4 linked regions of the Macaca mulatta genome follow. The protein of the gene in region 2 interacts with the protein of the main gene of each other region in a biochemical or structural test. Links are inferred from orthologs where the notes say so. Each region holds a gene or a part of one and is shown on either strand. Other genes may lie near its edges.

Region 1 (8,001 bases), on a different chromosome or scaffold from region 2:
AACCTGGGAGGGGGAGGTTGCAGTAAACTGAGATTGCACCACTGCACTCCAGCCTGGGCAACAGAGCGAGATTCTGTCTCAAAAAAAAAAAAAAAAGATGTAAGATAGGAAATAGTGAAAAACCAGTGAAATTGGCCATCCTTATATTGAGAGCACAATATCGCTGGTCCTCTAACTTGTGCTTTTAGCACTTAGAAAGTTTGTTTCTCTGACTGCTTTGCTTGTTGGACAACTCTCATTCTTAGAAAACTTTTTTTCCTGTTTTCAGCCAAAATCTGTCTCCATGTGTTTTCCGACTAATTTCTTATAGAACAAACCAGAAAAGCTCTTTATTTTGCTTTCAGATGACAACCCATCGAATAGTTTTAAAAAACTGTTATGTTTGTTTTCTTCTGTTTTCTTCAGCTGTCCTATGATAATAACCTCATACTGATCAAACTCTATTTCCTTCTCTCAACCTCCTCCCCCGGGTAAATAATAGTTTATCAAAGATTTTCTTAAAATGTATAAAACAGTCTGTTTTACAAACCCTTAAAGATACACACTCTAAGTGAGTTCACTAAACATTTATTAAAGCTCTTTGAGGAAATACCAAGATGAATTAGATAGAATCTGCCTTCAAAGAATTATTCTCTACTGTTCTTATGAAAGAAACAGTCATTCAAAGGCCGGGCACGGTGGCCCACACCTGTAATCCCAGCAGTTTGGGAGGCTGAGCGGGCGGATCTCCTGAGGTCAGGAGTTCTTGACCAGCCTGACCAACATGGAGAAACCCTGTCTCTACTAGAAATACAAAATTAGCCAGGTGTGGTGGTGCATGCCTGTAATTCCAGCGACTGGGGAGACTGAGGCGGGAGAATCCCTTGAACCCAGGAGGTGGAGGTTGCAGTGAGCCGAGATCATTCCATTGCACTCCAGCCTGGGCAACAATGAACAGAATTCCATCTCAAAAAATATTAATAGTGGCCGGGCGCAGTGGCTCAAGCCTGTAATCCCAGCACTTTGGGAGGCCGAGACGGGCGGATCACGAGGTCAGGAGATCAAGACCATCCTGGGTAACACGGTGAAACCCCGTCTCTACTAAAAACTAGCCGGGCGAGGTAGCGGGTGCCTGTAGTCTCAGCTACTCGGGAGGCTGAGGCAGGAGAATGGCGTAAACTCGGGAGGCGGAGCTTGCAGTGAGCTGAGATCCGGCCACTGCACTCCAGCCTGGGTGGCAGAGCCAGACTCCGTCTCAAAAAAAAAAAAAAAAAAAAAAAATATTAATAAAAGAAAGAAACAGGCGTTCAAGAAAAAATTTAAAGATGTAATGGTGCTCTTTTTAAGTTCATATTTTTAAAAAAATAATTTTTTTTTTAAGAGACAGGGTCTCACTATGTTGCCCACACTTGTCTTGAACTCCTGGGCTCAGGTGATTTGCCCGCCTTGGCCTTCCAAAGTGCTGGGATTACAGGTGTGAGCCACTGCACCCGGCTCCTTGGTCACATTTTTGCCGTCTTATGTACAAGGTTAATATTGCAGATTATAAGAGAAAGTCTTGGTAGATAATAAGGTCTATTATTGTGGTAGGATTACTGTGAGCTGTCATGATCTTAGGACTCTGAAAAGATACATACCGGTAGGATAAACCGGTGTCCCAGGAGAATTGACTTGCGAAAGCGTGGGGCTGTGCTTTGTCGGTTTTCATATGGAATGGAAAGATCTGTGTCTCCCAGTGTTTGCCCTATCTCCTCCTAGCATTTCTTCCTGTTACTGCTCTCCTCTGCAGTCAAAGTGGAGAAGGCCTGTAGCTACAGCTAATCTATCTACTGATAGGTTGTCTTGTTTTGGGATCCCAAGGCTCCATAAGGTGATGGTGATTGCAAGAAAAGCTTTTTAATAAATGATTATTCAAAAAGTAAAATAGGACATGAGATAATGTTGTACATCCAATTAAGGTGAAAAATGTACTCTTTGGCTAGAAGAAACTGTGTTGCAGTTAGTCTGTTTTATAAATCCTTAAAGATACACACTTGTAGTTCTGTGCTTTCAGCTATAGTGTGAGGATAAAGGTAACCTATTAGAAATACTTGGAAAGAATTTTTTTTTTTTCGGAGTAGACATGCCAACCCAAGCCTAGGAAATCAGAATTGGGAGTGTGGGGAAGAGAATAGGAAAGAAATGCCTGTCTCTTTTGAAAACACTGCCTCCCTTCAGTTGATCTACTCCCACCTGTGTATTTTTTGATCATTAAGAAAGGTTATTTTTGTTGGATTCCTGCAGTCCCAGCTACTTAGGAGGCTGAGCCTGGGAGTTCAAGGCTGTAGTGAGCTTTGATCACACCACTGCCTTCCAGCCTGAACAACAGAGTGAGACCCCATCTCCAGTCAATCAGTAAAATTTTTAATGGTGGTAAAATCTACATAACATAAAATTTATCATTTTAATCTTTTTCTAGATGTACCATATACCAGTAATAACTATCTTGTCATGCAACAGATCTCTAGAACTTTTCTGTCTTGCAAAACTGAAACTTTATATCCATTGAACAATTCCCCCTTTTCCCCTCCCTCTATCCCCTGGCAACCACCAATTCTACTTTCTAAGAGCTTGACTATTTTAGATATCTCATACAAGTGAGATCATGCAGTATTTGTCTGTTTGTGACTGGTTTATTTCACTTAACATATATGTCCTCAAAGTTTATCCATATTTTATCAACTATATGACATGTATATGTATATGGTATATGTGGTGTGTGTGTATATATATGTATATATGTGTATACACATATATGTACAGTATTGTACTGTATACAGTATATATACACACACACACACCATATTTTGTTTGCCTGTTCATCTTGTCAGTGGACACTTGGGTTTCTTCCACCTTCTGCTATTGTGAATAATGCTCTTATGAACATGGATCCACAAAAGTCCATTCAAGTCTTTGCTTTCGGTTCTTTTGGGTACATGCCCACAAGTGGAATTGCTGGATCATATGGGAATTCTATTTCTAATTTCTTGAGGAACCACCATATTGTTTTCTGTAGTAGCTGCTCCATTTTGTGTATTCTCCAACAATACACAAGGGCTTCTCCACATCCTTGTCAATACTTTTTTCCCTAGGTTATTGGGGTACAGGTGGTATTTGGTTATATGAGCAAGTTCTTTAGTGGTGATTTGTGAGATTTTTGATGCACCCATCACCCCAGCAGTATACACTGCATCCTATTTGTAGTCTTTTGTCCCTCTTCCCCCACCCACCCTTCCCTCAAAGTACCCAAAGTCCATTGTATCATTCTTATGCCTTTGCGTCCTCATAGCTTAGCTGCCACGTATCAGTGAGAACATATAATGTCTGGTTTTCCATTCCTGATTTACTTCACTTAGAATAATAGTCTCCAGTCTCACCCAGGTTGCTGCAAATGCCATTAATTCATTCCTTTTTTATGGCTGAGTAGTATTCCATCCTCTGTGTGTGTGTGTGTGTGTGTGTGTGTGTGTATACGTGTGTGTATATATATACATATATGTGTGTTTGTGTGTGTATGTATGTGTATGTGTATATATGTGTGTATATATAGATATGTCACAGTTTATCCACTCTTTGATGGGCATTTGAGTTGGTGCCATGATTTTGCAATTGCGAATTGTAACTGCTAAAAATGTGTGTGCAAGTATCTTTTTCATATAATGACTTCTTTTCCTCTGGAAAGATGGTGGGACTGAGTATTTGGGGTGTCTCCCAGGTCCTGCAGGAGCAGTCCCCTGCTTCAGAAGGTCTGTGGGTCCTCTTTGGATTCCTGGTTTGTTCTTGCAGTCGTTCTGAAGCTAAAATTCATGATGTGAGCCTCTGTGTGCTCCTCCGTCCATCTGAGTCGGAGCTCCAATCTAGTCCTGCCTCCCATCCACCATGTCAGCAAACTCCCTTGTTATTTTTTGATAGCAGCCAAAAAATGTGGATATGAGGTGGTTTTCCTCCCCCCGTTTATTGAGATCCAGTGCTTTAGGTTAATTGCCAGCATCACATACATATAAGCTGATTGAGCTCAAGTTTATATAACTATTCTTGTCTTATGTGTTCTTTCAACAATCTCTTATGGCCTGGCTTTTTGTGCATTTTTTTCTTCTGTAATGGCAACCTTACTGGTGTAATTAGTAGTCCAAATATATTTGGATAGTTCTTATGCTTATGTACTAAGGAGCTAAAGAGGGAATATTACAAGATGGTTAGAAGTGCACACTCTGGAGATGAAATGCTTGTCATGGATCTCTGAATCTGTCACTTGCTAACTTTCTGATTTGGGGACAAATTAACTTCTGTCTTATTTTTCTTTTTATCATCTGTAAATGGGGTATACCTTCTTCATAGGGTCATTGTAAAGGTTAAATGAGGAAGACAGTGCTTCCTGACTTTTTTCACATGACACACGTAGAAAATGATAAATTTTTACAGGTGAATAAAAGAATACGCTACAAGGAAATCCTACATAGACCTTGCATGAGCGCCTCCAGGACTGGTGGAATCAGTAGTCCAGCTATACTTCCAGGTCGTTAATGGGCCACAAGTATATTATAGGATACGTGTTGAAGAACTGTGAATTCATTCTTGAAAAATATTTTAAACACACAGCAGAAGTTTAGAAAGCCTGAGTCATTGTTTCATACAAGTAGAGAGGACACTTCAGTAACTAAAGAACTACCATTCTTGCCAGGCAAGAAACTCAGCATCTTAAATTATAGAATGTCTCTCCTAGATATATTAAAGTTTTCAAGCTTCATAAAGGTGTTAAACATTTGCATCTGTCTTTCAGGTATTGTTTCAGTATCTTACAACGTTTAGTCGACACGTGATTAGTAATTAAGAGCTCATTAAGTCTTTGGGCTACATATTGCTTATTGATTGTGGTTATCATTTCATTACCTAATTGTCACTTTTGTCTATAATTAGGGTCGTCGGGCTGTTAAAGCGGGTGCTTATGCTGCTTGCCAGGAAGCAAAGGAAGATATAAAGGTAACTTTCTGAATTCAGGGGAAAAAGAGAAGTTAAAGACAAATGTACATTACAAGAGCCCAAGTAGAATAATTTGAGTGATGATGTTGTTGAAGTGGTTTGGGGCACCTACATGCAGAGATTTGGAACTGGCAGGGTTATGTGATTTCTTTTTTTAAAGTATAAATGCCTTAACTAAAAGCAAATTTTAAATGCTATTTTTTTGGTTTGTTCCCTTCATTTGTAGAGTCATTCAGAAAATGTCTCTCAACATCCACTTCATGTAGAAGTATTACACTCAGAGATTATGGCTCATCAGAAATTTGCTTTGCGTCTTGGTTCCTGGATGAACAAAATTATGAGCTATTCAAGTAAGCATACCTCCTGTTTTTCTTGTTTCTGATAAAATACTGTGTTTTTTATAGTCACAAATTTTAAAATGTCATCGAGTATGAAATACAGTTTTTCTTTTTTTTTTTTGGTTTATACACTTTGATTAATTTTCAGGGTTGCATTTCAAATGCATAATATCTTAAGATATTATTTCAAGTGCATAGTATCAAATAATACCTTTTTGTTGACTGTTGAGTCTTTGATGTTGACAGAATTATTCTTTACATCAAATGTGGGAGGATTAATGTTAGTCTTTTCACATGTTATAGGAAATGTATTTTTAGGATAAATATTATAAGAATAAAAATTATGGCTGAGTGCAGTGGCTTGTGTCAGTAATCCCAGCACTGTGAGAGGCTGAGGCGGGAGGATCACCTGAGCCCAGGAGTTCAAGACCAACCTGGGCAACAGAGTGAGATTCATCTCTATGTAAAAAGAAAAAGAATACAAGTTGTGTAATTGTGTGACCTCTTTTGTTTGTAGGTGACTTTAGGCAGATCTTTTGCCAAGCATGCCTTAGAGAAGAACCTGACTCAGAGAATCCCTGTCTCATAAGCAGGTTAATGCTTTGGGATGCAAAGCTTTATAAAGGTAAGTAGACATTTGCTTATGCTTTTTGTCAGGAAGCAAAGGAAGATTATGATCTTAAAGTGGAGCTGTAATATCTTTTGTTTATTAAATTAGTTATTAAATCTGTGATCTTGATTGATAAGGTATTACATGTGAATATCAAGTTTAACCAGTCAGTATGTATTCTTTGGTGTTAAAACGCAGGGATGTTATCTTTTAATTATAGAGTCTTTTCATTTAGTGAGAGCCAGTCAAAAAGAGTATATACATATATATATATATATACACACACACACACACACGTATCTATAAATTCAAGTAGTAATGCCATTGTTGAGTGGCAAAAAAAAAGCTCTTTTCATTGTAAAAATCTAAATGAAGAACAAAGTGTAAAAGTCAAGAGAAAGGCTAAAAGCATGGAGAAGGAAAAGTTCAGAGTAAGAGTACTTTTGAGTGAAATAGAAAAAGAATGAAAAGGTTGAGAGAGAATCAATTGAAGTGTAAGATGAAGTGGTGGGAGGGGTACAGAAAAAAAGGGAAAAGGCAATATATGTGTGTATTTTAAATTCTAGTTATTAAATATTAATACAATAAATACTGTTTATATTTGAGGTCTGTTTGCATGTGAAATAATTTTATAATATTCTGCCACTCTAATAGATGGAATGTTTTTGGTTTTTGCCTTGGTGATTCCCCTCATTCCCCCACCCTCCCCAAAATAATCTATAGGTGCCCGTAAGATCCTTCATGAATTGATCTTCAGCAGTTTTTTTATGGAGATGGAATACAAAAAACTCTTTGCTATGGAATTTGTGAAGGTAATTATTTATAAATTAGATATCAATAAATACAAATAGGCAGTTTTTATAAATGAATTAATAGAAACAGATAATTATGAATCCAAAATTAAATGTTATGATTCATTTCTTTATCAAAAGTTCATTCTTGGCCCTGAGGGTTGACTCACCCCTGTAATCCCAGCACTTTGGGAGGCGGAGGTGGGTGGATCATTTAAAGTCAGGAGCTCGAGACCAGCCTGGCCAACATGGTGAAACCCCATCTCTACTAAAAATACAGAAATTAGCTGGGCATGGTGGCGGGTGCCTGTAGCCCCAGCTACTCAGGAGGCTGAGGCAGGAAAATCGCTTGAACCCTGGAGATGGAGGTTGCCGTGAGGCAAGATTGCGCCACCACACCCTAGTCTGGGCAACAGAGTGAGACTCCTATCTCAAAAAAAAAAAAGTTCGTTCTCATACATTACATAAATATTTTCACAAGTGTCATTTGCTTGTATAGAAACAGCGCTCTTAGAGGAGAGATAGGTGGAAAATGACCTACTGACCCAGAGCAAAGGGAGATTATCACATTCACATATGCATTCAGTCTTCCTAGTCATTTATTTGCCTGTTTGTAAAATTACAGTAAGAATAGAAGTAACTAACTGATAAAGGATAGCAGGAAAGAAGAACAGATGTGTATGCTAAAGTGGGGTGCAGAAATTAGGTGGCCAAGGGTTCTACTTAATTGTTGGAAGCTAAAATGTGAGGCTAAAATTTACAGCTTTTTAATGTTTTATTAATCTATCATATATCTCTTACCTTACTGTGTCTTTTTGTCTATCAACCAAATTAGATTGCAAGGTTATACATATCAGGGACTCCTTTGAATCTTTTATTTTGCCTTATATAAAGGTATCCAGTGATACTTGTTGATTTCCTCTGATTTTGAGTTGCAGTCAATTCTGTAAGACTTAAGATAGATATAGGACCCAAGATGGAATTGGAAGCAGAGAAAGAAATAATGATTGTTGTAAGCAAATGACACTGTGGGATAAGATACCTGCATTCCCTGGATTTTATATGCAGACTTACAAGTAACTAAGACATTTGTTGTATGTCTTATCCTTCATCAGTGATGGCAACTTAAGATGTTCTCTTCTAAAACTCTTTAGATATAGAATATTGGACCATATGTGTGATCTGAAATGAAATTTTGTTTTCTTATACAAAAGCTAATCTCCCTACTTAGATGATTTTTTTTGTACACCATGGTTACCCCTTA
Region 2 (8,693 bases):
AACACTATAGAAAACATAATGAGTATGACTTACCATCTTCAAAAGGTGTCCCTTCTGGTCTGAAAACAAGAAGATTTCTGATTAAAAGAAGTTTCTCATTCTGCTTTTTCTTGATTTTCAAGAATGGGAAAGGATAAATTTACTCCAACAGAAAAAGAGGGACTCATTCTGATGATTTGTGGAGTTTTAAGATAGAGTTTAATAACACTTTAGCCCTGAATTTTCATAGACCCAGGCATAAAGTATAACTTTCATTCTAAGCTTTCTTTTTAGGGTGGTTTTACAAAACCAAACAAAAAAACTTGCCCATAATTTTAGCACAAAAAAACTTTTTTTTTTTTTTTTTTGAGACGGAGTCTCGCTCTGTCGCCCAGGCTGGAGTGCAGTGGCCGGATCTCAGCTCACTGCAAGCTCTGCCTCCCGGGTTTACGCCATTCTCCTGCCTCAGCCTCCTGAGTAGCTGGGACTACAGGCGCCCGCCACCTCGCCCGGCTAGTTTTTTGTACTTTTTTAGTAGAGACGGGGTTTCACTGGGTTAGCCAGGATGGTCTCGATCTCCTGACCTCATGATCCGCCCGTCTCGGCCTCCCAAAGTGCTGGGATTACAGGCTTGAGCCACCGCGCCCGGCCTAAAAACTTTCATTAATGCTGACCAGTCATTTTGTACATATGTATATTCTTTTTTTTTTTTTTTTTTGAGATGGAATTTTGCTCTTGTCCCCCAGGCTGGAGTGCAATGGCACATTCTTGGCTCACTGCAACCTCCTTCTCCTAGGTTCAAGCAATTCTCCTGCCTCAACCTCCCGAGTAGGTGGGATTACAGACGCCCAGCTAATTTTTGTATTTTTAGTAGAGATGGGGTTTCACCATCTTGGCCAGGCTGGTTTTGAACTCCTGACCTCAGGTGATCCACCCGTCGCAGCTTCCCAAAGTGCTGGGATTACAGGCATGAGCCACTGCACCTGGCCCACATGTATATTCTTAAGAGGGAAAGTCATCTTTTCATTTTACAGCAATAAGAAGTAAAGCAATACTCTAGTTATGATGCTAAACCCAAGTGTCCTGCTTTCCAATGGAGCCACAACTTTTGTTCAAATAGGCTAAGCATAGTTGATGTCACCAAAGAGCCAGATTTGTTTGCTCAGATCCTTGCCCCCACATCCCAATTTCATCTTTCCTAAGCAGCAGCATAAAGCTTAATTATTACTTGCAAGGCATATTCAGGATCTCAAAGCAGCAGGATAATATCCTGAAGGTGCCATGTATTCAACTCAGATTCAGAAGTACTTTATGAGGATGAACTTCACTCATTTTCCACTAGTCTTTAAATGTAGACTCTTGTAGCTGATTCTGTAGTGTCAGAATTCTGTTTATCAACCTATTCCTTTTACTTTTTAATGCAAAACTCTAGTATCAAAGGAATGAAAGAAAAAAATAGATCAAGTCTAGAAAAAACAAAAAAAAGCATAAGGAAATTTTAAATTAAAAAGCATATATGCAATATATATAGTAGGTAAAATTTACAGCTGCTTCTCAAATGGCTGCATTCTGTTATTTTACACTGGGCTGTGAATCATTTTCACTTAAATTCTTGCAGCAGTGGAAGTTCTTAATATTTTTGGTTCCAAACCTTTTAACAGCTCCAACAGAATGAGAGCATTTGCATGATATGTTTTATACAAAGTAATGTATTGTTTCTCCTTATTATTCCATTCCATTTAGTTTTGAGTAGTATCTTAAAAGTAAAACCCCAAGTGATTATAAAACCATATGTAATAACATCAAAGAGCAAATAAACTTTGTATAACTGCTGAAACTTTTTCCCTTTTTTTTTTTTTTCTTTGGATAGCTGGCTGCCCAGGCTGGAGTGCAGTGGCACACTGCAGCCTCAAACTTCTGGGCTCAAGTGATCCTCCTGCCTCGGCCTTCCAAGTAGCTGGGCACCACCATGCCCAGTTAGTTTTATACTTTTTGTAGAGACAAGGTCTCTCACTATGTTGCCCAGACTGGGCCAAAACTCTTTTTTTGGTGGAGAGGGGACAGAGTCTCACTGTCTCACTATATCGCCCAGGCTGGTGATGAACTCCTGGGCTCCAGCGATCCTCCCAGGCGTTGAGCTACTGTGCTGGGCCAAAACTCTAATTGAAAAAAATTTTTTTCTAATTTATCTTGCAGTTTTAGTCCTTAAGATCTCTCATTCTACCTCAGTTTCTTTTCCTAGACAGTTGTTATATGTTCACTTTTCTTAAAGATTCAGCACACACCTATTATTTGTTAAACCTTTCAACTCACCCAAATATAACTGCATTCCACTGCATGATGTTGTTTTCAGATGGTGCGCCACTGACACCCACAGGTGGGTCCTCTTGTAACCTAGAAATCCAGCGTTGTAATTTAAAAAGTTGAACATTAAGGCCACTAAGGAGGCCACATAAACACCTACAGACACTACACCATCTATTTTGAGACACAGACTAACTCCATTTCCTTGTTATTGTGAACTAAAATGAACCATATGACTTAGATATATTAACCAGGTATATATACTTATTAAATACCTCTCCAAATTACCTAAAAATCCGAAGGGCTTGAGAATCATCCCTCTTTCAATATTATCAAGAGTATCTCTTCAAGAATTGATGTATATAGACTGTCCTCTTATACCAAAAAAAGTTTAAAACCTCAAAAGCAAGTAATATTTTTACAGAACCATTGATTTTGCTGCTCTAAACATGCAAAGACTGTGTATCCTAACCACGGCTACTTCTGCAAAATGGCTACAAGAAAAAAAAAAAAAAGCAAACCTCAGTGTAAACACGAAATGACTGAAAACACATTAAATTTAACTAGGAAACTAGTATTAGGCAGCAGATTTACTCTATCCCTTTTGCTTCAAACAGCAATGGCTTTAAAAAGTAATCAGTAGGTTTTCCGCCAGTCCCTATTTTAAAGGCTCTGCACTAACATCAAATCTACCTCTCAAATCAGGAGACTCAATACAAGGCTTTCCCACATTCGTCATAGTCAAATTCTTGTAACCTATAGATCTCTGGAAAACTACAAAAGGTGCCATGTATTCAACTCAGAATTAAGCAGAGCATTACAGTAAGGAGCCAGGGCGACAATGACATGAACTAGTTTACTATCTGAATTTTAGTCATGAGTGCTAATCAGATACACTGATTTCAAGCTTTAGAAAAATGACTTTTGCACCAAAAAGGGCATCTCCTTTCAGAGACTGTAACCTCAATTTAAAAATGCTACATTATACACACTCACAAATACATATGGAGTTGTTTTCATGGGGCATCATAATTTGCAACTAGTCCACATAAAAAAAAAGGTTTTTAGTCAATCTCAAGCAAATTAGGCCACCACAAACAGAAGCCTTAGAAGAACTGCACTGCTTGACGCCTACCTTTAAATGGCTAAGAGAAGCTACGAATGAATTAAATAAGTTGGCCAAATCCAAATGCCTCACATAGGCTTTATAATAGCTGAGAGGTGACTTCCTGAGCGACAAATCTATGTTTTTATGCTATTTTGTTCAATTAGGGTAGGTGTCCCCAGAAAAAATTTTAAGAAAAATGTGCAGAATATCAAAATGTTTTCTCACTTATTTTGTTTTTTCTACGTTATTTTGTTTTTTCTACGTCTCTAAGTATCCAATAAAAGGTAAACTAACGGAATAATCATTTTCTTCCTCACAACCCCAATACCTCCTAACAAAACCCTATTTTATTTACCAAAGAAGGCCCAGGGAGTATCAAATTAGCGCCAGTCTAAGGGAAGGCATTTTTCCAGACTCGGGAGGCTATAGATAGGGCTTTCTTCACCAGCCAGATCTGAGTTCCAGAAGGCACTGGCAGCCGGGGTGGCCAGCTCTAAGGTCCCAGATCTCTAAGTCAGTTCCCAAGGTCTTTTCAGGCGGGCGGGGACAGAGTCGGGTTTCGGGGGATGGGTTAACCTCCGAGCCTCACGCACTGGACCCCACCCTCACGGCAGAAATGGAAAGGACTGGCGGGGGTGGGGGGCTGGGGAGGTTCACCCCAACCCGGCTCCTCGGAGAAGACTGAGGGGCCTTGAAACAAAGCTGACTGGTGCTGCCGGAGAAGAACAAGCTCCCGCGGGAGCTCACTTTGAGGGGACAAGAAAGGGTCTCCGCAGGGTGCAGGGGCGGGAGGATGATGTCTGATCCCCGTCTGATCCCCTGGACGAGACCCCGGGCAGCTGGCCGAAATGGGCAGCGGGGAACCCTAGACCAGTCGATCGACATCGTTTTACTTTTTGGGGGGAGGGGAAGCAGTATCGAAATTTCTTCGGGCGCCAGAGCGAGCGGCAAGGATAAGGAGAGTAGGGGCCGAGGTAGGACCCGGCTTCCGCCAGTCCCCCTGGGCCCACAGCCGACCCTCTGAGGGTCACAAGGGGAAGGTGTCCGGGATCCACGCCCTGCAGCCCCGCAGCTTTGAGAGGCCGTCATCTATGCGAAGCTGAAGGCCCTTACCGCTTGAAATCCCGCATAAGCCTCCTTCGGGCCGGGGTCGACATGCTCCGCAGCTGCCCCGCGGTCAGTCTGAAAGAAAAGAGTCCCGCGCAGCCCCCCCACCCCCCGGCGCGGCGGCCGAATCACTGTGGATCGCCGCTGCCGCCGCCGCCGCCGCCGCCGCCGCCAAGACTGACAAACAACCCTGCAATGACGTCTCCCTCCGCCGCCTCCGGATCCCTCCGCCCTCCGCCGCTACCACAGAGTGAGTGCTGGGGGAGGAGGGGGCGGGACGGGGGAGCGCGCGTTCCCTGAGCCCTTCAGCGGGGCGTGGTTCTTCCTGGGCTTCCTGAAGTGATCGACAAATTTGTGTTCTCTGTGTTCAGACTAGAGGTTGTGGATTCAGAGACCACGAAACCGACACACTATCCTGTCTGCCTCCCCGTCTCTAGTTTAGGCTCGGCGGGGTGGAGAAAGAAGGACGTATCCGGGCCAGGGATTTCAGGGAAAGGAGGTGGGATGATGTAAGATCACGTGACTGCCCGCGGCCTTGTCAACAATCCACCCCTGAGGGGGAGGGGGAGAAGTATCTAGAACCACGTGTCCCTGTGACGCGTTTAGAACGGGTCACGTGAGAGCCTCGCCTGGATGTGAGTTTCGGCCAGGTCTGTGAAGCGGGTCTAAGAGGGTGAGGGCTGGATACACCTTTATTAGTTGTTTTCGGTTTATCACAGGTATAGAGACATTACCCAAGAGGTCGTGGGAGGATCAACAGCTTGTTTTGTTTTCTTTAAACCGGGACCAAAAATAACTCCCCTCTGGTTGGTTCAGTGGCTTATGAACTCTGGTACTTGGGGCAAGAAGAGAGAGGATCGCAAGATCTTCTAAGGCAGCATTGAATACTGAGGGCCACACAACAATCTCCTGAAATGGTTCCTTGAAGCTACCAAATAGTCTTTCTGCTTTGCAGTGGGGTTTCTAGTATTGGAAATTCTGGGCAAACATTAAAGGATGGTGTATTATGCAGTTTTTCCTTTCTGGGTCTGCTTTCAATTGAAGATATGTGTCAGAGTCCGGGGACTTGCCTATGGGGGGGAGTACCATTGTATTTTTAAGAATGTGGGGGTGCAGTCTTCCAAGCATATCAATGAGTGGTTGGTTGTCAAAGAAACCTACAAATATGATTCATATGTGGGGGAGAGCTCCAGCAGACCTGAGTGAGGGTTATCTATCCAGCCTGAGACAACTTCAGGTTTTTTACACTAGCAAGAAAGGTGCAAATGGGCGAGAAGTGCCCCCCCACCACCAGGGGGTTCAGAGGTGTTGACCTCCCACAGACCTTGAATATTTTTTGTAGTTACTGTCTTTCCCTGTATTGCTGCTAATTCCTACTTTCAGGACTTTGTTATACTAAGGACTCTGAGTACTTTTGTATCCATTTGGGGAATTGTTCGGTTCAACAGGTAAAGGGAGGGTGGAATGAGGACCTTAGCATTGCCTCAACCTTGCCCCTAGTTCTATGGAAGCAGAGTTAACTTTTCCGACTTTCCTTGTACCTCTTTCTTCAAACCCTGAATTCTCTCAGCTTCCAGTGACTGCCTTAGTGATCAAGTTAGCCAGGCCTAACTCTTGATAGGTCCTGTTAGACATTCACAATGTGTTTTCTAAGTTAAAAGCTGAATATTCTTAATGTTTTTGCTTTTCTGCCATTGCAGTCCTAACCCTTCCAATAGCAAAGGAGGAAGACACACAGGCAGGGTTACATGGAGAAAAATGGTAAATAGAAACTATATCTTAAAAATATCCCTCATGAGCTGGGGCATTAGCTCATGCCTGTAATCCTAACACTTTGGGAGGCCAGGAGTTGAAGACCAGCCTGGGCAACATAGGAGATCCTGTCTCTGTGCACACGAGTAGCCCCAGCAACTCAGGAGGCTGAGGCAGAAGAATCGTTTGAGCTGCAGTAAGCCATCATCATGCCACTGAGACCCTGTCTCAAACCCTGCAACAACCAAAAAACCCTTATAATTTATCAGTCTAGGCAGTCACTGAAAGCAGAGACAGAATTCAGGGTTTGAAAAAAGGGAGGTACAAGGAAAGTGGGAAAAGTTAACCCTTTCTGGTTCCATGGAACTATGGGCAAGATTAGGGCAATGCTGAGGTCCTTCTCCTACCTCCCTTTCCTTGTTGAGCTGAAGAATGGATACAAAAGTGCTGAGTCCTCCTGACGCACCAACAAAGTCCTAAAGATGGGAACTGGAGGCAATGGAATTTAGGAATTCCGTGACTACAGGGATTTATAATTGTTTCGGAAACAGTTTAAATTTTCCAAAATGAATTAACACTTTTAACTAATTCAGTGCATGTGCATCATAAAGTCTTACAGCTGTGTATTAGCAAGAATCACTGGCTGTTCTGGTTAACCAGGCCTGCCATAACCTACTTGTAGAAGGAATAATTTTAAAGCTATTAATTGTATGCTGTTATCAATTCTGTAGCTCTGGATTATGAGTTCATTGAGGGCAGGGACTGAGTTTGGTTCATCTTTGTCCTGGGCAATGTTTTTTTATTTTTTGAGACAGAGTCTTGCTCTGTCACCCAGGCTGGAGTGCAGTGGTGTGAAGAGGGCTCACTGCAGCCTTGACCTTCCAGGCTCAAGCAATTCTCCTTCAGTTGCCCAAGGAGCACAGGTGTGCACCACCACACCCGGCTAATTTTTTGTAGAGACGGGGTTTTGCCCTGTTGCTCAGGCTGGTCTGGAACTCCTGGGCTCAAGTGATTTGCCCACCTTGGCTTCCCTCGGATTACAGGTGTGAGCCACTGTGCGCAGCCTCCTTGCAAATATTTTGCCCACAGCAAATAATATGCTTACACGAAGTTTGAACCCACTATAAGATTTACTATGACATTCTTATTTATAGAAGGTGTTTTATATTGTGGTTGAATAACATTCTCTTTTTTTTTTTTTTTTTTTTGAGACGGAGTCTCACTGTCACCCAGGCTGGAGTGCAGTGGGGCGATCTCGGCTCACTGCAAGCTCCGCCTCCCGGATTCACACCATTCTCCTGCCTCAGTCTCCTGAGTAGCTGGGACTACTGGCGCCCACAACCGCGCCCGGCTAATTTTTTGTATTTTTTAGTAGAGACAGGGTTTCACCGTGTTAGCCAGGATGGTCTCCATCTCTTGACCTCGTGATCCGCCCGCCTCGGCCTCCCACAGTGTTCAATTACAGGCGTGAGCCACCGCATCCTGCTGAATAACTTTCAAATAAGACAATTCTGAATATTTTAGGTGATCAGTGAAAACGATGACCACTTCTCCTTTCTCTCAATATAAACCGTAGCAGCATAGAAAACTTGAGAAGCTTCAAACATACTAATTTATTTACCCTATCTCAATTAAGTCAGGCTCTCTGGTGTTGGGGCGGGGGTGTGGATGTGGGAGTTGGGAGTTGCTTTCTAAAAGCTCTCCAAGTGTGATTTAAATATGCATGCTGGGGCGGTACCCACCGGACTAGAATTTATTAAGTATTGCCTTTTCTCTTATTTAGTGGAAGCATGGCGAGATTTCGCTTTTTACATTTAACTCATTTTATAGAAAAAAAGCAAAGAAAGCCCTATTCAATAAAGAAAGCACTCCCTAGGCACTTGCTCTAGTGATACGGTGGTTATTCATTAGGGACTGTCACTCCAGCTGAACTCTATGTCTACTTAAGCAGTTAAACACTGGCCTCTTTATTTCTGCGCTCTTGTACATCATTTCGTATATGGTGGAACCCTTCGAATTACTTGCTTCCCTAGAGTTTGACACGTGGTGAGGGAGTTTTTTTCCTTTAAAAAACAGCAGTTGGAAAAAATTTAAAGGCGTATGGCAGGTGTTCAAGAAAAGTTTTTAAGAACCATCTTGACCGGGCGCGGTGGCTTAAGCGTGTAATCCCAGCACTTTGGAAGCCTGAGGCAGGCGGATCACCTGAGGTCAGGAATTCGAGACCAGCCTGGCCAACATAGTAGAAACCCGGTCTCTACTAAATATACAAAGCCGGGCGTGGTGGCGCACGCCTGTAATCCCAGCTTCTCGGGAGGATGAGGCAGGAAAGTCACTTGAACCCGGGAGAAGGAGGTTGCAGTGAGCCGAGATCGGCGCCACTGCACAATTCTCTCAAAAAAGCAAACAACAAAAAAAGGCAGACCCTCCCTATCCCCATTCAAAA
Region 3 (8,001 bases), on a different chromosome or scaffold from region 2:
CCCAGCACTTTGGGAGGCCAAGGTGGGCGGATCACAAGGTCAGGAGTTTGAGACCAGCCTGGCCAACATGGTGAAACCCCATCTCTACTAAAAAAAATACAAAAATTAGCCGGGCATGGTGGTGCGCACCTGTAATCCCAGCTACTTGGAAGGCTGAGGTGGGAGAATTGCTTGAACCTGGGAGGTGGAGGTTGCAGAGCCAAGATCACAACACTGCACTCCAGCCTGGGCGACAGAACAAGACTCCATCTCAAAAAAAAAAAAAAAAAAAAAAAATTTCCACCTTTTATTTTTTTCCTAGGGACAGAGTCTCATCCTTGTCACCCAGACTGCAGTGCAGTGGTGTGATCATAGCTCACTGCAGCCTCAACCTCCAAGTGATCCTCTCACCTGTCAGCCTGTCACTTGAGAAGCTGGGACTACAGGCACATACCACCACAATCAGCTAATTTTAAAATTTTTTTGTAGAGATGGGAGTCTCACTATGTTGCCCAGGCTGGTCTCCAACTCCTGGCCTCAAGCAAACCTCCCGCCTCTGTTTCCCAAAGTGTTGGGATTACAGGCGTGAGCCCCCAAACCCGTAAACACCATCTTGATAGGATTAATGAGACTGAAATGTGACCAAGCATGTCAAGCACTCAGCATGTGGCCTGGCGCATGTAAATGTTCAGGATGTGTGAGCTGTTCTGTGACAGCCTGGCTTCATCTTAGGCTATCGCGTTGGGTGCTCTGAGCAGAACCGGAAGGTGAGGAGGTGAGCCAGCAGCCCAAGTTGTGTGTCCCCCTGGCCCAGCCTCACCTTCCGCTTGTTGAGCTCCAGGGCTTGGCTGCGCAGCGTCAGCTCCTTCTCCACACCCCCAAGGCTGCCCTGCAAGGCCCGCTCCTTCTCCTCCAGCTTCTGCACAGTCAGCAGCTGGGCATCCACCTAAGGACCAGAGGAGGACTCAGGGGCATGACCCCCGCCTCTCCAGCTCCACCCTATAAGCTGGGGGCGGCCATACCTGGGACTTGAGGCCAAGGACCTGCTCGCCCAACTCATCCTTCTCCTCCCGCAGCAGCTTGTGAATCTGATTGGCCTTGATCCGCTCTGACATCAGCTTAAAGTTGGCATCGTCCTTTTCCCGCAACTGCTGTAGCAGCCGCCCATTCTGTTCCTGCATGTCCTCAAAAGCCTGACCTGTCACATCCATCTCTGAGAGCAGAGCCTCCTCCTCCTGCAGCAAGTGGGAGGAGACAAGATGGAACATGGGAAGTGGACAGGATGGCTATGGGGGAACCATGGGAAAACGCAGCAAAGCAAAGAACCACAGAGGGGACCCAGATCATCAAGGTGCTGCAGGCACTACAGGCACCCAACAGGGTTTGAAGGGATCTCTCTGCATTCGGAGGCGAGGGCAACACAGGGGCCGCACCTGCTTGGTGGCACCCAGCTTGCGCTGCAGGTGTTCTATCTGCTCCTCTGCCTGCCGAATGCGCCGCAGGGCATCCTCATCCGCGATCTTCTTGCTCTCCCTTCGATCCCTCTCCTCCAATTCCCGGATGCGGCTCCGCAGCTCATCAACCTACAGCACAGGGAAAAAGGAACTCTCTTGACACTGCTTCCTGCTGACCTAGGACTCTGTTCTGCCTTTCTGCATGTCCCACAAGCCCCAGCTGCCCTCACCTCGGCCTTGGCCTTGCGTTCTGCTGCCATGAGCTGCACCTTATCCCGCTGTTCCTTAGGTGCTGACTTGTACATATCCAGCAGCAGTTTCATCTCCTTCTGGCTCTCCTGGGCCTTCCTGGCAAGGAGGTACAGGAGGAAGTCTTGGTGAGTGGGACTGGAGGCCACCTGGCAGGGTCAGGAAGGAGACAGGAATACAGTCTCACTTGAGCTCTGCTCGGAGACCCTTGAGGAGTTCTGATTCCTTCCTCTTGGCTTCTTCCACCTTGGCCTTCTCCCGATCGGCCCTTGAGAGAGCGGAGGCTACAGGTGGAGGACCCAAGCCAGGACCTTCTCGTTCCCGAAGCTCCCGCTTGGGCCTGGCCTCGGGTTCTCGGCCCCGGGAGGAAGGGCCCTGGGCCCCAAGGGTTAAGCCCTGGACATCCTCTTCAGAGGGGACCAGCTCCTCCTTCTTCACTGAAGTGGTAGTAGTGGTGGTGCCAGGCACTGGAGCCATTTCCTTTCTGTTGTCGGGGGTACTGACAGGGCCTGGCCCACCCTCCTCTTTCCCTGGGGCTGGGGCACTGAGGCCAGAGTCCTCTGGGTGGCCCAGGTTGGGGGTGGAGTGGGTAGAGCCACTGGTCTGGGCCCGGAGCTGCAAAGGCAGAGAGGAAGAAGGATGAAGTCAGATGTTGTTCATTGGAGTCTAGCCAAAGCTTTTCCCAGGCAGGCCCCTTCTTACCTTGCCAATCTCAGCTTGTACTTCTCGAAGCTTCCGCTTGTATCGCTGGGCGTCCCCTTTTAGCTGGTGGTTGTGGTTTTGAAGACTACTAATCAGGTGGCGCATCTCACGGTTGATGGGCCCTGGAGAAGCACCAGGAATTAAGGGTGTCAGAACCAGTTCCTGGGTTAGGGCTCCAACCCCTCAGTGTGGGAAGAGGCTATGCCATCACTCCCACTGTGCAGGAGGGGAACACTGCGGCCTCAACTGAGCATGAACTCACCAAAGTAAATAATGCTGACTTCAAGAAAACTCACCCAAAAGTAACTTGACACTGCCTATTCATATGACTTTTGCTAATGTAGAACATGTTTTTTGTTTTTTTAAAACAGAAACAGTGTCTCACTTTGTTGCCCAGGGTGGTCTCAAATTCCTGGCCTCAAGTGATCCTCCCACCTTGGCCTCCCAAAGTGCTGGGATTACAGACATGAATCACCATGCCTGGCCTATGTTTTTTCTTTTTTCTTTTTTTTTTTAATACATCCAATTCCCTTTAATAGAGAAGGTAACTGTAACATTCACAAAAGTTAGTCAACTTTTTCTAGATTCTTTGTTTTTGTTTTTTGTTTTTTTTGGGAGGGGGGACGGAGTCTCGCTCTGTCACCCAGACTGGAGTGCAGAGGCGCAATCTCCGTTCACTGCAAGCTCCGCCTTCTGGGTTCACGCCATTCTCCTGCCACAGCCTCCCGAGTAGCTGGGACTACTAGCGCCCGCCAGCACACCCGGCTAATTTTTTGTATTTTTAGTAGAGACGGCGTTTCACTGTGTTAGCCAGGGTGGTCTCGATCTTCTGACCTCATGATCCTCCCGCCTCAGCCTCCCAAAGTGCTGGGATTACGGCGCTCTGAGCCACTGCGCCCGGCCAACTTTTTTTAGATTCTTAAACATCACCTTCCCAGTTGCATTTCCCTAGCCACCTATCCAAAATTGCAACACCGTTTCTCCTGATACTTCCTATCATCCTTTTCTGCTTTACTTTCCTTACTGTATTTGTCAGGAACTAACACATTTTCTACTTTTCTTCTACTAGTTCGTCTTTCTCTAGTCTGTCTTCTATCAGAATGTTGCTCTACATGGCAGGAATTCTGTTTTGTTCACTGGCATAACCCCAAACCCTAGAACAGAGCCTGGCTCATAGGTGGCATCTGATAAATCTTTGGAACACAGGTATCTGAGAGAGAGAGACATCATCAGACCAGAAGACTGTGGACAGGGCTGACAGCTCAAACTCTGCATGTGCCTGCTCCATCAGCCATCCCAGCTGGCGTGACCCTCACTGTGCCTGGGAGCCAAGCAGTGCAGGCCCTGTTTTGCATAGGAAGCCCAGGCTCTGTGAAGAAAAAAAGGCCTTAGCCTCTTGCATCTGGATAAGCAGCGGCCCCACACCAGGGCCCAGCACTCCCAGATAAGGCCCCACCTCCGCCCTATCCTCACCACATACCCGCCTGCTCGTTGGCCGCCAGATTCTGCTCAAACTCGATGCGCAGCATCTCGTACTCCTTGCGTACCTGGGCCAGCGTGTCCTCCAGCTGAATGACCTCTGTGCGCAGCTTCTTCTGCAGCCCCAGCTCGTCGCTCTGTGGATTGACGTGTTAAGGACCCACACAGTCCCTCGGTCCCACCTCAGGATTCAGTATCTTACGAAAAATCTATTCCCCAGGGACCCCTGGCTGGCACACAGGGCCTCTGAAGCCACCAACACCTCAACACTAAGGGTCTGGCCCTTAGCCCAGTCCCCACACCTGTTCCAGAGCCATACCTCCATGTGCTCTATATGTCGCAGATGGGAGTTTTTGGTGGCCAGCAGCAGGCCCCGAGCCTCGTCCAGCTGGGTCTTCACTTGCAGAGACTCGTTGTAGAGCAGTGAGAACTGGGCCTGCAGCATGCGGTACTCCCCTGTCTCCCGCACTACCTCCTCGGGAAGGCTCCGCAAGGCCACCTGGGGCAGGGATGCCCAAATGGGATCAGCAAGAGGATTCAGGGCTCAGTCCCTCCCTTACAGGCATAGGCCTTCTCAGCTCCTACGGCAGCCCACCTTGAGGCGCTCATTGGTCCGCACAGCCCCCTGAAGTTCAGCCTGCAGTTTCTCCAGCTCTGCCATGCGGCTGTTGGCCAATTCCTGGTTTTCCTCCAACTCTGCATTCAGCATCTCAAACTAAGGAGTGGGAGGCGGGGCCATGGGAGGCAGGGCCAGGTGTGGCAGCAGGCTTCCCTTACATCCCCAGCAAACACTCCAGCCCAAGCACTCCGTGCAGGGCAATGACCGATTCTGATGCCCCAAACCAAGTACTTTCCTAAGGGCTCCCAGACAAATGGGAGAAAATTCAATACTGCATGGTTGGTGTTGAGAACTAAGGCTCTTAACTGATGGGGAATCACGGAAGCATTCCAGGAAGGCCTAAAGTGCCAGTAAAGGGAAAAAGGGCACAGTGACCACCAGATGCCAACTGACTCCAACTCACTCCTCTCTCTCTCTTCTGTGCTTTATCTTTGTGGTACTCATAACACAATGATAGGCTATTTTACCAATTTCTTGTTTGTTACAACAAGTAGAACCTAAAGATATATTCTTTTATTTATTTCTTGTCTGGTCCATGAAAGTTTTAACCTCTATTTTGTTCTCCCCAATATGCCTAGTGCCTAGCACTAAGTGTTCAAAAATCTACTCAAAAAGTATATGAATGCATGAAAGAAAGAGCAGCAGGAGTGACCAAGAAGGGCCTTGGAGATGGACGTTTGTCCTTCATCTCGAGGGGAATTTCAAGAGTGCAACACAGAAGAGGTCGTGAGAAGGGGTGGGAGGAAGACGCCGCTCACCTTCTGCATGCTGAGTGTGATCTGGCCCCCCTGGAAGCCTGAGGAGCTCCCAGACACATAGTAGCCAGAGTTCAGCTGTGGAGAGAAAACAGACAGGCAATGGAAGTGGAGGGGAGGAGCTAGGGCCCAAGGGCCCAGCCTTGCCTCACCTGCCCCAGTACCCCTGCCCCACCTGCTCTAAGGCCTCTGCCAGGTGCTTATTGAGCTTTTGCTCTCGCTTCCGCAGCTTCTCAATGTCCCACTGCAAGTCCTCCACTGTTGTCTCCATCTCCAACACCTTGGTCTCTGCCGACGTCACTTTATCCTGGAGCTCGGAGTACTGGGAACAATGAGGGAGCAGATGCTTGGATGGGGGACTTGGTCCCTGAGGGCCCATCTAACCCAAATCCTGCCTGATTCTAATCCCACTCCCAAAGCCCCTGGCTCCTCACCTCCAATGAGATGCGGTGGTGTTTCTCCTGCAGCTGGGTGGCCAAGTCCTGCAGTCGCCGGTTCTCACGGCCCAGCTCTCGGGTGCGTGCCCGAGCCACCTCACTGAGGGGCTCACTGTCCCCTGGGAAAGCAGGGCCCAGGTTAAGAGTCCAGCTCAGGGCAATGGGGCAAAGAACTAACTCATTCTGGAGTCTGCTATGTGCCCAGTGTGATCCCCCAGCTGTCTTGCCAATTTCTCATGACAAAGCTAGGAGTCTTTATCTCCACTGCACAGAGGAGGAAACCAGCTCAGAGAGGGGAGCCACTTTCCCAGCACGTCCAGGTGAGGGTGGCAGAACTGAAGTGGGAGAAGCCTGTCAACCTACAAGGCCTGAGCCCTTGAAGCTATGCCTTGTGGATCTGCAACCCACACAAAGTGCTCCAGAGGGGCCTCTGGACAGGAGGCTCTACTAGCATCAACAGCTCCTCCAACCCATCTCTCTAGCATTCAGTCCAGGAATCAAAGTTGGAACCCCCATCTACAGACTAACCTACCCCTCCCAAGAACGTGGCTGATATATTCCTTGGGGAATTCTGGCCGCCCTTGGACTTGGGCATTAGGGGAATTGGAAAGGGGTGCCATCAAGATGCAGGTAGGAGGCCGGGCGCGGTGGCTCAAGCCTGTAATCCCAGCACTTTGGGAGGCCGAGGCGGGCGGATCACAAGGTCAGGAGATCGAGACCACAGTGAAACCCCGTCTCTACTAAAAATACAAAAAATTAGCCGGGCGCGGTGGCGGGCGCTTGTAGTCCCAGCTACTCAGGAGGCTGAGGCAGGAGAATGGCGGGAACCCGGGAGGCGGAGCTTGCAGTGAGCCGAGATCGCGCCACTGCACTCCAGCCTGGGCAACAGCGTGAGACTCCGTCTCAAAAAAAAAAAAAAAAAAAAAAAAAAAAAAGATGCAGGTAGGGATGGACACCTCTTGGGTATGGGCACAAAGAACCCACCTCGGCTATACACTCGCTGACAGAGTTCCTCCACCCGGCGCTGTAGGCGGTCTGAGGCCTCTACCACATGAGACACAGCTGCCTTAGAGAACTCCATTCGGCCTTGCAGCTCCAGCTCCACCTCCTCACTGCTGCTGGCACCCAGTGCCACCACAAAAGCCAAGGCCGGCTCACTGAGAGGGGGCCGCAGCTGCAATGGCAAGGGCTCTGGAAGGAATGGACAGACCCTCATGAGGATAATAGCAGCAGTTACCACCACTCTGTACTAAGTTCCAGACTGAGCCCTTCAATATTCATGGCTCACTTAATCAACACAACCTATAGTGCACTATTATCTCCATCCTGAAAGTGAGACAAATGAGGTTCAGGGAGGTAAAGTAATTTCCTCAAAGCTACAGAGTTGCGTATCACATCCTCAGGGATGCCTCCTGTACTTTCCCAATAAAAATTAGAATCTCACACACACACACGTGTGCACACACAATTATTCCCTTTCAAGAGCCCCAGTACTTTCTGCTTACTATGTTTGTAATTTCCTCCCTCATAGCAAATGCAATGAGCAAGTACCCATTTCTAGAAAGCGTCAAATACATAGTTAACACTCAACCGTAATACTGTTTTCAAACAAATGGGTGTCGAAACATGAATTGCTCTATAAACCAAGTTAGTCAGAGTCCAAAGCCTGTATTTTTGTGCACTGCACTTTACCACCCAAACATGAAATCCATTTCGTGGGGAGTAGTAAGGCAGGCAATTCAGAGGCCCAACACCAAAGTCCCCTCCTCCCCAGGACTTTTCCCAGAACTGAAGCTCCCTAGATCCCAGAACTCTGGTCTCACCCCTCAGCTCTGATGTCCCCGGCTCTGGGAGAGGAGTCCCATCACATGTGGGCCCCTCCTGGGTCCCAGGTGCTTCAGGCGCTGAAGACAGCTCCCCCTGGCCCTCATGGCATCGGAGAAGGGCTTCCACAGTTTCATCCAGCTGGAAGGAGAAAGCATCAAAAATGTTATGAATCCCTTAATGCTTTCCAACATTATACCCCTTTTCCAGCAGGGGAATCTGGGGATTGGCAGCTGAATCAAGGCCTGGTCTTGGAAAGCAGAAGGCATCCACCTGGGCCCAGTAGCGATTGACGATGAGGAGTGTGGCATCATCTGTGGCCTGCCGCTTCTCCAACTTCTCAATTCGTTCTCGGAGTTCATCTTCACAAGCCTGCCGTTGTTCCAGCCGCTCTGCCAGTTTTTTGTTCTTGAACTGTAGTACCTTCAGGTCCATCTCCTCCTACCAAAGGAAACAAAGGGGCCGACGAGAATATCAAGCAGAGCCCAGAAACCAATCACACA
Region 4 (6,822 bases), on a different chromosome or scaffold from region 2:
GTAGAATGTCCCTCAATCTGGGTTTGTCTGATGTTTCTTTATGATTAAAATTTAGCACATGCATTTTTTGGCCAGAATACTGCAGAAGTAATGTTGAATTCTTCTCTGTGAAACTTACCAGGGCACGTGATCTTTATTTTTCTTATTACTAGTGATAATTCTGATCATTTGATTAAGATGGTATCTGTCAGGCTTTTCCACTATAAAATTCCTTTTCTGTCTGTAATTGTGGAAGATACTTTAAGTCTATCTACTTTCCTATTTCTCCATTATTTTTTTTCCCACTAATTTTAGCATCTGAGAAGTATGTTTGAGACATCTCTTAGGGGTTGTTGAAGATAAAATGAGATCATGAGGGTGGGGCTGAGGTGTGGTATGTGATCACCTGGGGAGAGAGTAGATGGTGAGAAAAGAATCAGAATGTTTATTAGAAAGGCCACTCTAGTGAGGAGTGGGAAGAGTAGAAGCAGGGAGAGGAGCAGAAAAGTCTTTGTTGGTAGTCTGGGTGAAAGATAACCTGAGTGAAGGCACAAGATGGGCTAGAGAGAAGTAAATTGATTAGAAAGCTGCTACAAAGATGGCATCTATAGGACTTACTTTGGTTAGGACCTTGCAGTTTGCAAATCCAGTGAAACCCCACTTCTACTAAAAATACAAAAATTAGCCAGGTATGGTGGCACATTCCTGTAATCCCAGCTACTTGGGAGACTGAGGCAGGAGAATCTCTTGAACCTGGGAGGCAGAGGCTGCAGTGGGCGGAGATCGTGCCATTGCACTCCAGTCTAGGCGACAGAGCGAAACTCCATCTCAAAAAAAAAAAAAAAAAAAAAAGCACAGTACCGAATGGTGAGTGCTGTCACCAGGATATGAACAAAGAGATGTGGGCACAGCAAGGATATTTGTGTGGGAGTAGGGAAGTTCTCCTCTAATAATTCTTTCTTCCTTTTTTTGTACAGAGGAAGAAACAATGGCTGGATAAATTAAATGACTTCATTAAGCCCAACATCTAGACATCGTGAGGAGCATGTTCTTTGAGTCAGGCAGACCTAGATTCTAATCATGTGGCTGTGTGACCTTCAGCAATTTTTTTTTTTTTTTTTTGAGATAGAGTCTTGCTGTGTCGCCCAGGCTGGAGTGCAGTGGCGCTGTTTCGGCTCACTGCAACCTGTGCCTTCTGGGCTCAAGTAATCCTCCAACCTCAGCCTCCCAAGTAGCTGAGACCACAGGTCACAGGTGTGTGCCCCACCACACTCAGTTAATTTTTGTATTTTTTGTAGAGATAGGGTTTCGCCATGTTGCCCAGGCTGGTCTCAAACTCCTGGGTAAAAGCCATCTGCCTTGGTCTCCCAAAGTGCTGGGATTACAGGCGTGAGCCACCACACTCAGCCCAGCAATTGTTTTAATCCCTGTGAGCTTCAGTTTATTTGTGAAACACATAATTTTATCTACTTTGTAGGCAGTTGCTACTGTAGGGTTTATCATAGTAGGGTTTCAACATAATCTTTTTTTTTCTTTCACCCTTCTTATGGCACAGAACACTGTGATATAAGTAAAAAAGAAATCAGAGGTCAAGTCCAGGCGCAGTGGCTCACACCTGTCATCCCAGCACTTTGGGAGTTCGAGGCCAGCCTGGACAACATGGCAAAACCCTGTTTCTACTGAAAATACAAAAATTAGCTGGATGTGCTGGCGCATGCCTGTAATCTCAGCTATTTGTCGGCTGAGGCATGAGAATCACTTAAACACAAGAAGCAGAGGTTGCAGTGAGCTGAGATTCTGCCACTGCACTCCAGCCTGGGTGACAGAGTGAGACTCTGTCTGGAAAAAAAAAAAAAAAAAGAGGAGGTCAGAGAAAGAAAGGAAGGTCAGCATGCCCCTCAAGCAGGGCCTTATGGGGTGCCAGGATTATGGTAGGGTCCCCTATCATCTGGGTTTTTTTCTCTGCCCTTTAGGTCTGAAAAGTTGACACTATTAGAACTTCCAGGACTGACTGGCTTCTTGGGGAGGGACCCATGCTAACAAACTACACGAAATTTATGAATAGTCCAAAATGCAAATTCATTGAATTCTATGATGAACATCTTTCTATAACTGGCTCCCCCTACTTCAGTCTTATGTGTTTATCTTGGAATAGAACAATCAGAAAGTTGTTAATTGAGCACAGAATCTGAATGAAGGAACTTGGATAGTCTTCAGAAATATTTCACCCAGGCTGTGAGAAAAGGCTGATGCTTTCATAACCAAGGACCCTTTTCTAGTAGGCCAAACTTTGCCTCTGCCAGATATATTTTATTGTTGGTGAAAACATATTTCTACTACAATTGCCACCTGTTTGGACTCTATGTAGACTGCACCTTTCTGTTAACATTCATCTTCTCAAATGATATAATCAATTGGATTAGAAGGATCTTAGGTTACACCCTGGTCACCTCTGTCTGAACTTTGGTGTTCCCCAAATCTATACCAGCATTCTTACCAGGAGTAATCTCTAGACGTAGCTGATTTTAACTAATTTAACTCTCAGAGTTCACCAGATTTCCTCCATTTTCTGGAGGCATTTCATCACAGACTTGTTTGTACTACTTTCAATTATCTATACACCCATTGCCCAACAGCACACATCCAATAAATGCCAGTTGAATAAACTGGTGAGAATAAAGGAGGAAACATCAGAAAAGGTGTCAAATAATAAGATTTAAGTATTTTCTGGCCGGGTGCAGTGGCTCACGCCTGTAATCCCAGAACTTTGGGAGGTTGAGGTGGGCAGATCATAAGGTTGGAGTTTGAGACCAGCCTGGCCAACATTCGAGATTTGAGATCAGGAGTTCGAGATTAGCCTGGTCAACATTAGTAGAGATGAAACCCCATCTCTACTAAAAATACAAAAATTAGCCGGGCATGGTGGTGGGCGTCTGTAATCCCAGCTACTTGGGAGGCTGAGGTGGGAGGATCGCTTGAACCCGGGTGGGTGGGGGCGGGGTAGAGGAGGTGGTGGTGGAGGTGGCAGTGAGCTGAGAAGTGCTCCAGCCTGGGCGACAGAGCGAAACTCCGCCTCAAAAAACCAAAAAAACCACAAGTCTATTTTTTCTCTCTATTATTCTACCTGACCTTAAGGGATACTAAGGAAAGGGTGAGAATGGTGTAGGAGATGTAGAACTCCCAGAGATGGGACGTTGAGGAGGAAGAAACACAAGAGCTTTCAGGTTCATCTGTTATATGGGATAAAAGAAAAAAAGAAGAGCTTTCAGGAAAGATTTCTAAGGCCGCTGGAGTCACACCAGCAATTAATGCCTGACAGCAAAGTTACCCTTTCCCGGCTGTTGCTGAAATCTAAGGGATGATGATGAGGTGGACAAGGGAGCGTGGAGAAAAAGATTGAAGGGATATTAAGGAAGCAACTGACTGGACATGCTGAGACAAAGGGAAGAGTAGAGTAGATTTCGGCTTAGTTATCTGTAAGTATGCTGGCGCATTTCAGGAAGAGGGCAAAGAGGGGAGGTTGTTTGCAGGAGTTCGCGTTCGAATAGGCTGAGGTTGAGTTTGAGTTTGAGGTGCTCGTTGGGACAAGTAGTAGGTTGAAGTATTCAGTAAGCAGTTAGGCACAAGGGTCTGAGCTTCTGAAACAAATTTGGATGTTAGTTGAAAGCATATAAATGGGTAAGACTCTTCGGGATAAGTGAAGAATTGGAGATAGAGAAGCAGAATCCAGCTGGACTCGCAGATTTAGAGATGGCATGGGGAAGCAGGATAAGAAAAGTCGGCGAGCTAAGAAGAAAAACGCAGGGCGACATTTTGAAAGCCAAGGGAGTAAGCTTCAAGGCCGCCTCCTGGAGGTCAAGAAGATGACAGATCTAGCCTCGGTCAAACTGAATTCCAAGGAGTGCAGGCGGGTGGGGGTGGGGCGGAGTCGCTGCGGGCGACTTAAGTTGAGGGGCGAGAAAGGAGGCAGCCTTAGTAGTACTTGTATTTTTAAAGGGAATTTGGCTGTGACGAGACAGAAAGGGCGGAACTTAGTAGTTTAGAGCTCAAGGGGATCATTGGCTTCAGAATCCCCTACTCTTGCGTGAGAGTAACTCTCAGTCTACGGATGTCTTCTGCAGTTTCTTAGGGTCCATGTTGGGATTTACCGGCTGTAAACTAAACAAAGCAAAGCAAAACCCCATAGTACAAGACATTTTGTTTGAAAGCCTACTTTCTTTAAAGATCCTGCCATGCAAATAAGGGGCTTTAATGTGGCTCTCAGCGATTGGTAGATACTTACGAAATCCGTCATTTCCTTTCAGGGCAGGATGCAAACCAAGAGGCGGCTTTCTGTTTTTCTATTGGCTGTTGGATACGGCTCCGCTTTTAGCCAATCAAACGACTTCCCTTCACCCCTCCCGGTAGCTCTTATAAATTACATCAAATTGGTTATTCTTTCCACATTCTTCTCCTTGTAAAAGAAGCTGTAACTGCAATTTTAGCCGTAATGTCAGGACGCGGAAAGCAGGGAGGCAAGGCCCGCGCTAAGGCCAAGTCGCGCTCGTCCCGCGCTGGCCTCCAGTTCCCGGTGGGGCGAGTGCACCGCTTGCTGCGCAAGGGCAACTACGCGGAACGGGTGGGGGCAGGCGCCCCGGTGTACCTGGCGGCGGTCCTCGAGTACCTGACCGCGGAAATTCTGGAGCTAGCAGGCAACGCGGCTCGGGACAACAAGAAGACGCGCATCATCCCTCGCCATCTGCAACTAGCCGTGAGGAATGACGAAGAGCTCAACAAGTTACTCGGGGGTGTCACCATTGCCCAGGGCGGCGTCTTACCCAATATCCAGGCTGTCCTGTTGCCCAAGAAAACGGAGAGTCACAAGCCTGGCAAGAACAAGTAATTAAGAGGCTTGACACCATACTCATTCACCCCAAAGGCTCTTTTAAGAGCCACCAAAGTGTCAAATGAAGGGCTGATCACGAAATAGCGCATTAGCTCTTTTTTTGAAAACTTGGGTGGCTCTAAAAAGAGCCTTTGGTCTTTGGTTTGTTTGTCTGCATTTATTTGCTTTTGGCTTTGTGGCTTTCAGTTTTCTTTGGTAACAGAACGGCCTGGATGTTAGGCAAAACGCCGCCCTGGGCGATGGTGACTTTGCCCAGCAGCTTGTTCAGTTCCTCGTCGTTGCGGATGGCCAGCTGGAGGTGACGAGGGATGATGCGCGTCTTCTTGTTGTCCCGAGCTGCGTTGCCCGCCAGCTCCAGGATCTCGGCGGTCAGGTACTCGAGGACCGCCGCCATGTAGACTGGCGCGCCAGCCCCCACCCGCTCCGCGTAGTTGCCTTTGCGCAGCAAGCGGTGCACTCGCCCTACCGGGAACTGGAGGCCAGCGCGGGACGAGCGCGACTTGGCCTTGGCGCGAGCCTTGCCTCCTTGTTTGCCACGACCAGACATGACTGAAACCAAGGTTAAACACAGACAATGCTCAGAACCTCGCTACAAAATAAGCTTGAAAGAGAACCAAGAGGAAAGCCTTTATAAGCTTTCCTAGGGGTGGGGTCTAGAACGAGTTTTTCATTGGTCCTAATATGGCTTCAGAACCGGCCAATCAAGTCAAGAGTCGGTGTTGTTGCGTACGCATTGCTGAAAACGCAAGGTCCGCACACGGACCAATGGAAATGAATGACTTTCGGAGCCCTAATTTGCATAAGGTGGTTATAAAAGAATCAGGCCCGCCCATTCTCTTACTTCTTTTCTTGGCTAAGCCGCGTTTGTACTGTGTCTTACCATGCCTGAACCGGCAAAATCCGCTCCGGCTCCTAAAAAGGGCTCCAAGAAAGCCGTCACCAAAGCCCAGAAGAAAGACGGCAAGAAGCGCAAGCGCAGCCGCAAGGAGAGCTACTCCATCTACGTGTACAAGGTGCTGAAGCAGGTCCACCCCGACACCGGCATCTCGTCCAAGGCCATGGGCATCATGAACTCCTTCGTCAACGACATTTTCGAGCGCATCGCGGGAGAGGCGTCCCGCCTGGCGCACTACAACAAGCGCTCCACCATCACGTCCCGCGAGATCCAGACGGCCGTGCGCCTGCTGCTGCCCGGCGAGCTGGCCAAGCACGCCGTGTCCGAGGGCACCAAGGCAGTCACCAAGTACACCAGCTCCAAGTGAGTCCCTGCCGGGACCTGGCGCTCGCTCGCTCGAGTCGCCGGCTGCTTGACTCCAAAGGCTCTTTTCAGAGCCACCCACCTAATCACTAGAAAAGAGCTTGTTCACTTACTCCCTTAGTTTCTTCTCATAAAGTAATTTTAGCGTAAAGGTCATGGGAAATGCCACACGTAGGTTTTTAACCATTTGGAACTTGAGGTCCCCGGTGCATGATTGGATTTGCTTTTGAATCTAGAGCGTGTCTTCACTCATTGTGCTGCTTAGCATTCCCAGGAGTCGGTTCTCAATTAGGATGTTGGGAATCCGCCTCTTTACCCGCCCCCACTCCCGCCCCATACTGGCGCCCTGGTGGCTTCTTGGGTCTGTTTCATTCTAAAACGAAGTGGCTGAGTTCGGCTGTTATTTAAGAGAACTCCAGGGCACGATTCAGCCCAGGTTCCGCAAACACTGCGTGACAGCTGTGTATGACTGACGCTTGGCAGCACCTTTTGTGTCCGGTCACCAGTTCTGCTGTGCGATGGGGTCTCCTGTGGATACCAGCCGTTCTGTGTATTTTGGACGAAGCCCGCGCAGCCGGGTCCCAGCCTTTTCCTGATTGGGCGACATGAATATTCAAAATTCTGCGCCTCTTTCTAATTTGTAGATTTCAGTTTCCGTCGTTCACTTTGAGACTTTGAAATTCCTATTTCTCGTTTTGTT

The links.
Region 1: the proteins of UBE2B (region 2) and UBR1 form a complex in vitro, tested with the Homo sapiens proteins (2 studies listed by BioGRID and IntAct, with this or other methods). The link is inferred for Macaca mulatta from reciprocal best matches to the Homo sapiens genes UBE2B and UBR1.
Region 3: the proteins of UBE2B (region 2) and RNF40 form a complex in vitro, tested with the Homo sapiens proteins (3 studies listed by BioGRID). The link is inferred for Macaca mulatta from reciprocal best matches to the Homo sapiens genes UBE2B and RNF40.
Region 4: of the proteins of UBE2B (region 2) and H2AC20, one has a biochemical effect on the other in vitro, tested with the Homo sapiens proteins (2 studies listed by BioGRID, with this or other methods). The link is inferred for Macaca mulatta from reciprocal best matches to the Homo sapiens genes UBE2B and H2AC20.

What each region holds. Positions count from the first base shown.
Region 1 is NC_133412.1:20,456,617-20,464,617, reverse strand, and holds part of UBR1 (E3 ubiquitin-protein ligase UBR1), read left to right. Parts: intron 1-4,935; coding exon 4,936-4,998; intron 4,999-5,224; coding exon 5,225-5,348; intron 5,349-5,853; coding exon 5,854-5,961; intron 5,962-6,669; coding exon 6,670-6,758; intron 6,759-8,001. UniProt on the Homo sapiens protein: E3 ubiquitin-protein ligase which is a component of the N-end rule pathway. Recognizes and binds proteins bearing specific N-terminal residues that are destabilizing according to the N-end rule, leading to their ubiquitination and subsequent degradation.
Region 2 is NC_133411.1:143,287,804-143,296,496, reverse strand, and holds the start of UBE2B (ubiquitin-conjugating enzyme E2 B), read right to left. Parts: upstream 4,971-8,693; 5' UTR 4,549-4,970; coding exon 4,505-4,548; intron 2,374-4,504; coding exon 2,293-2,373; intron 60-2,292; coding exon 34-59; intron 1-33. UniProt on the Homo sapiens protein: E2 ubiquitin-conjugating enzyme that accepts ubiquitin from the ubiquitin-activating enzyme E1 and transfers it to a E3 ubiquitin-protein ligase. In vitro catalyzes 'Lys-11'-, as well as 'Lys-48'- and 'Lys-63'-linked polyubiquitination.
Region 3 is NC_133425.1:29,387,640-29,395,640, reverse strand, and holds part of RNF40 (E3 ubiquitin-protein ligase BRE1B), read right to left. Parts: intron 7,940-8,001; coding exon 7,772-7,939; intron 7,640-7,771; coding exon 7,498-7,639; intron 6,866-7,497; coding exon 6,659-6,865; intron 5,794-6,658; coding exon 5,672-5,793; intron 5,560-5,671; coding exon 5,413-5,559; intron 5,316-5,412; coding exon 5,241-5,315; intron 4,579-5,240; coding exon 4,459-4,578; intron 4,363-4,458; coding exon 4,183-4,362; intron 4,001-4,182; coding exon 3,865-4,000; intron 2,507-3,864; coding exon 2,385-2,506; intron 2,298-2,384; coding exon 1,870-2,297; intron 1,782-1,869; coding exon 1,664-1,781; intron 1,563-1,663; coding exon 1,413-1,562; intron 1,215-1,412; coding exon 1,002-1,214; intron 926-1,001; coding exon 800-925; intron 1-799.
Region 4 is NC_133406.1:117,259,860-117,266,681, forward strand, and holds H2AC20 (histone H2A type 2-C), read right to left. Parts: upstream 5,469-6,822; 5' UTR 5,412-5,468; coding exon 5,022-5,411; 3' UTR 5,002-5,021; downstream 1-5,001. Other genes in the region: H2AC21 (histone H2A type 2-B), read left to right, coding at 4,469-4,861; H2BC21 (histone H2B type 2-E), read left to right, coding at 5,746-6,126. UniProt on the Homo sapiens protein: Core component of nucleosome. Nucleosomes wrap and compact DNA into chromatin, limiting DNA accessibility to the cellular machineries which require DNA as a template.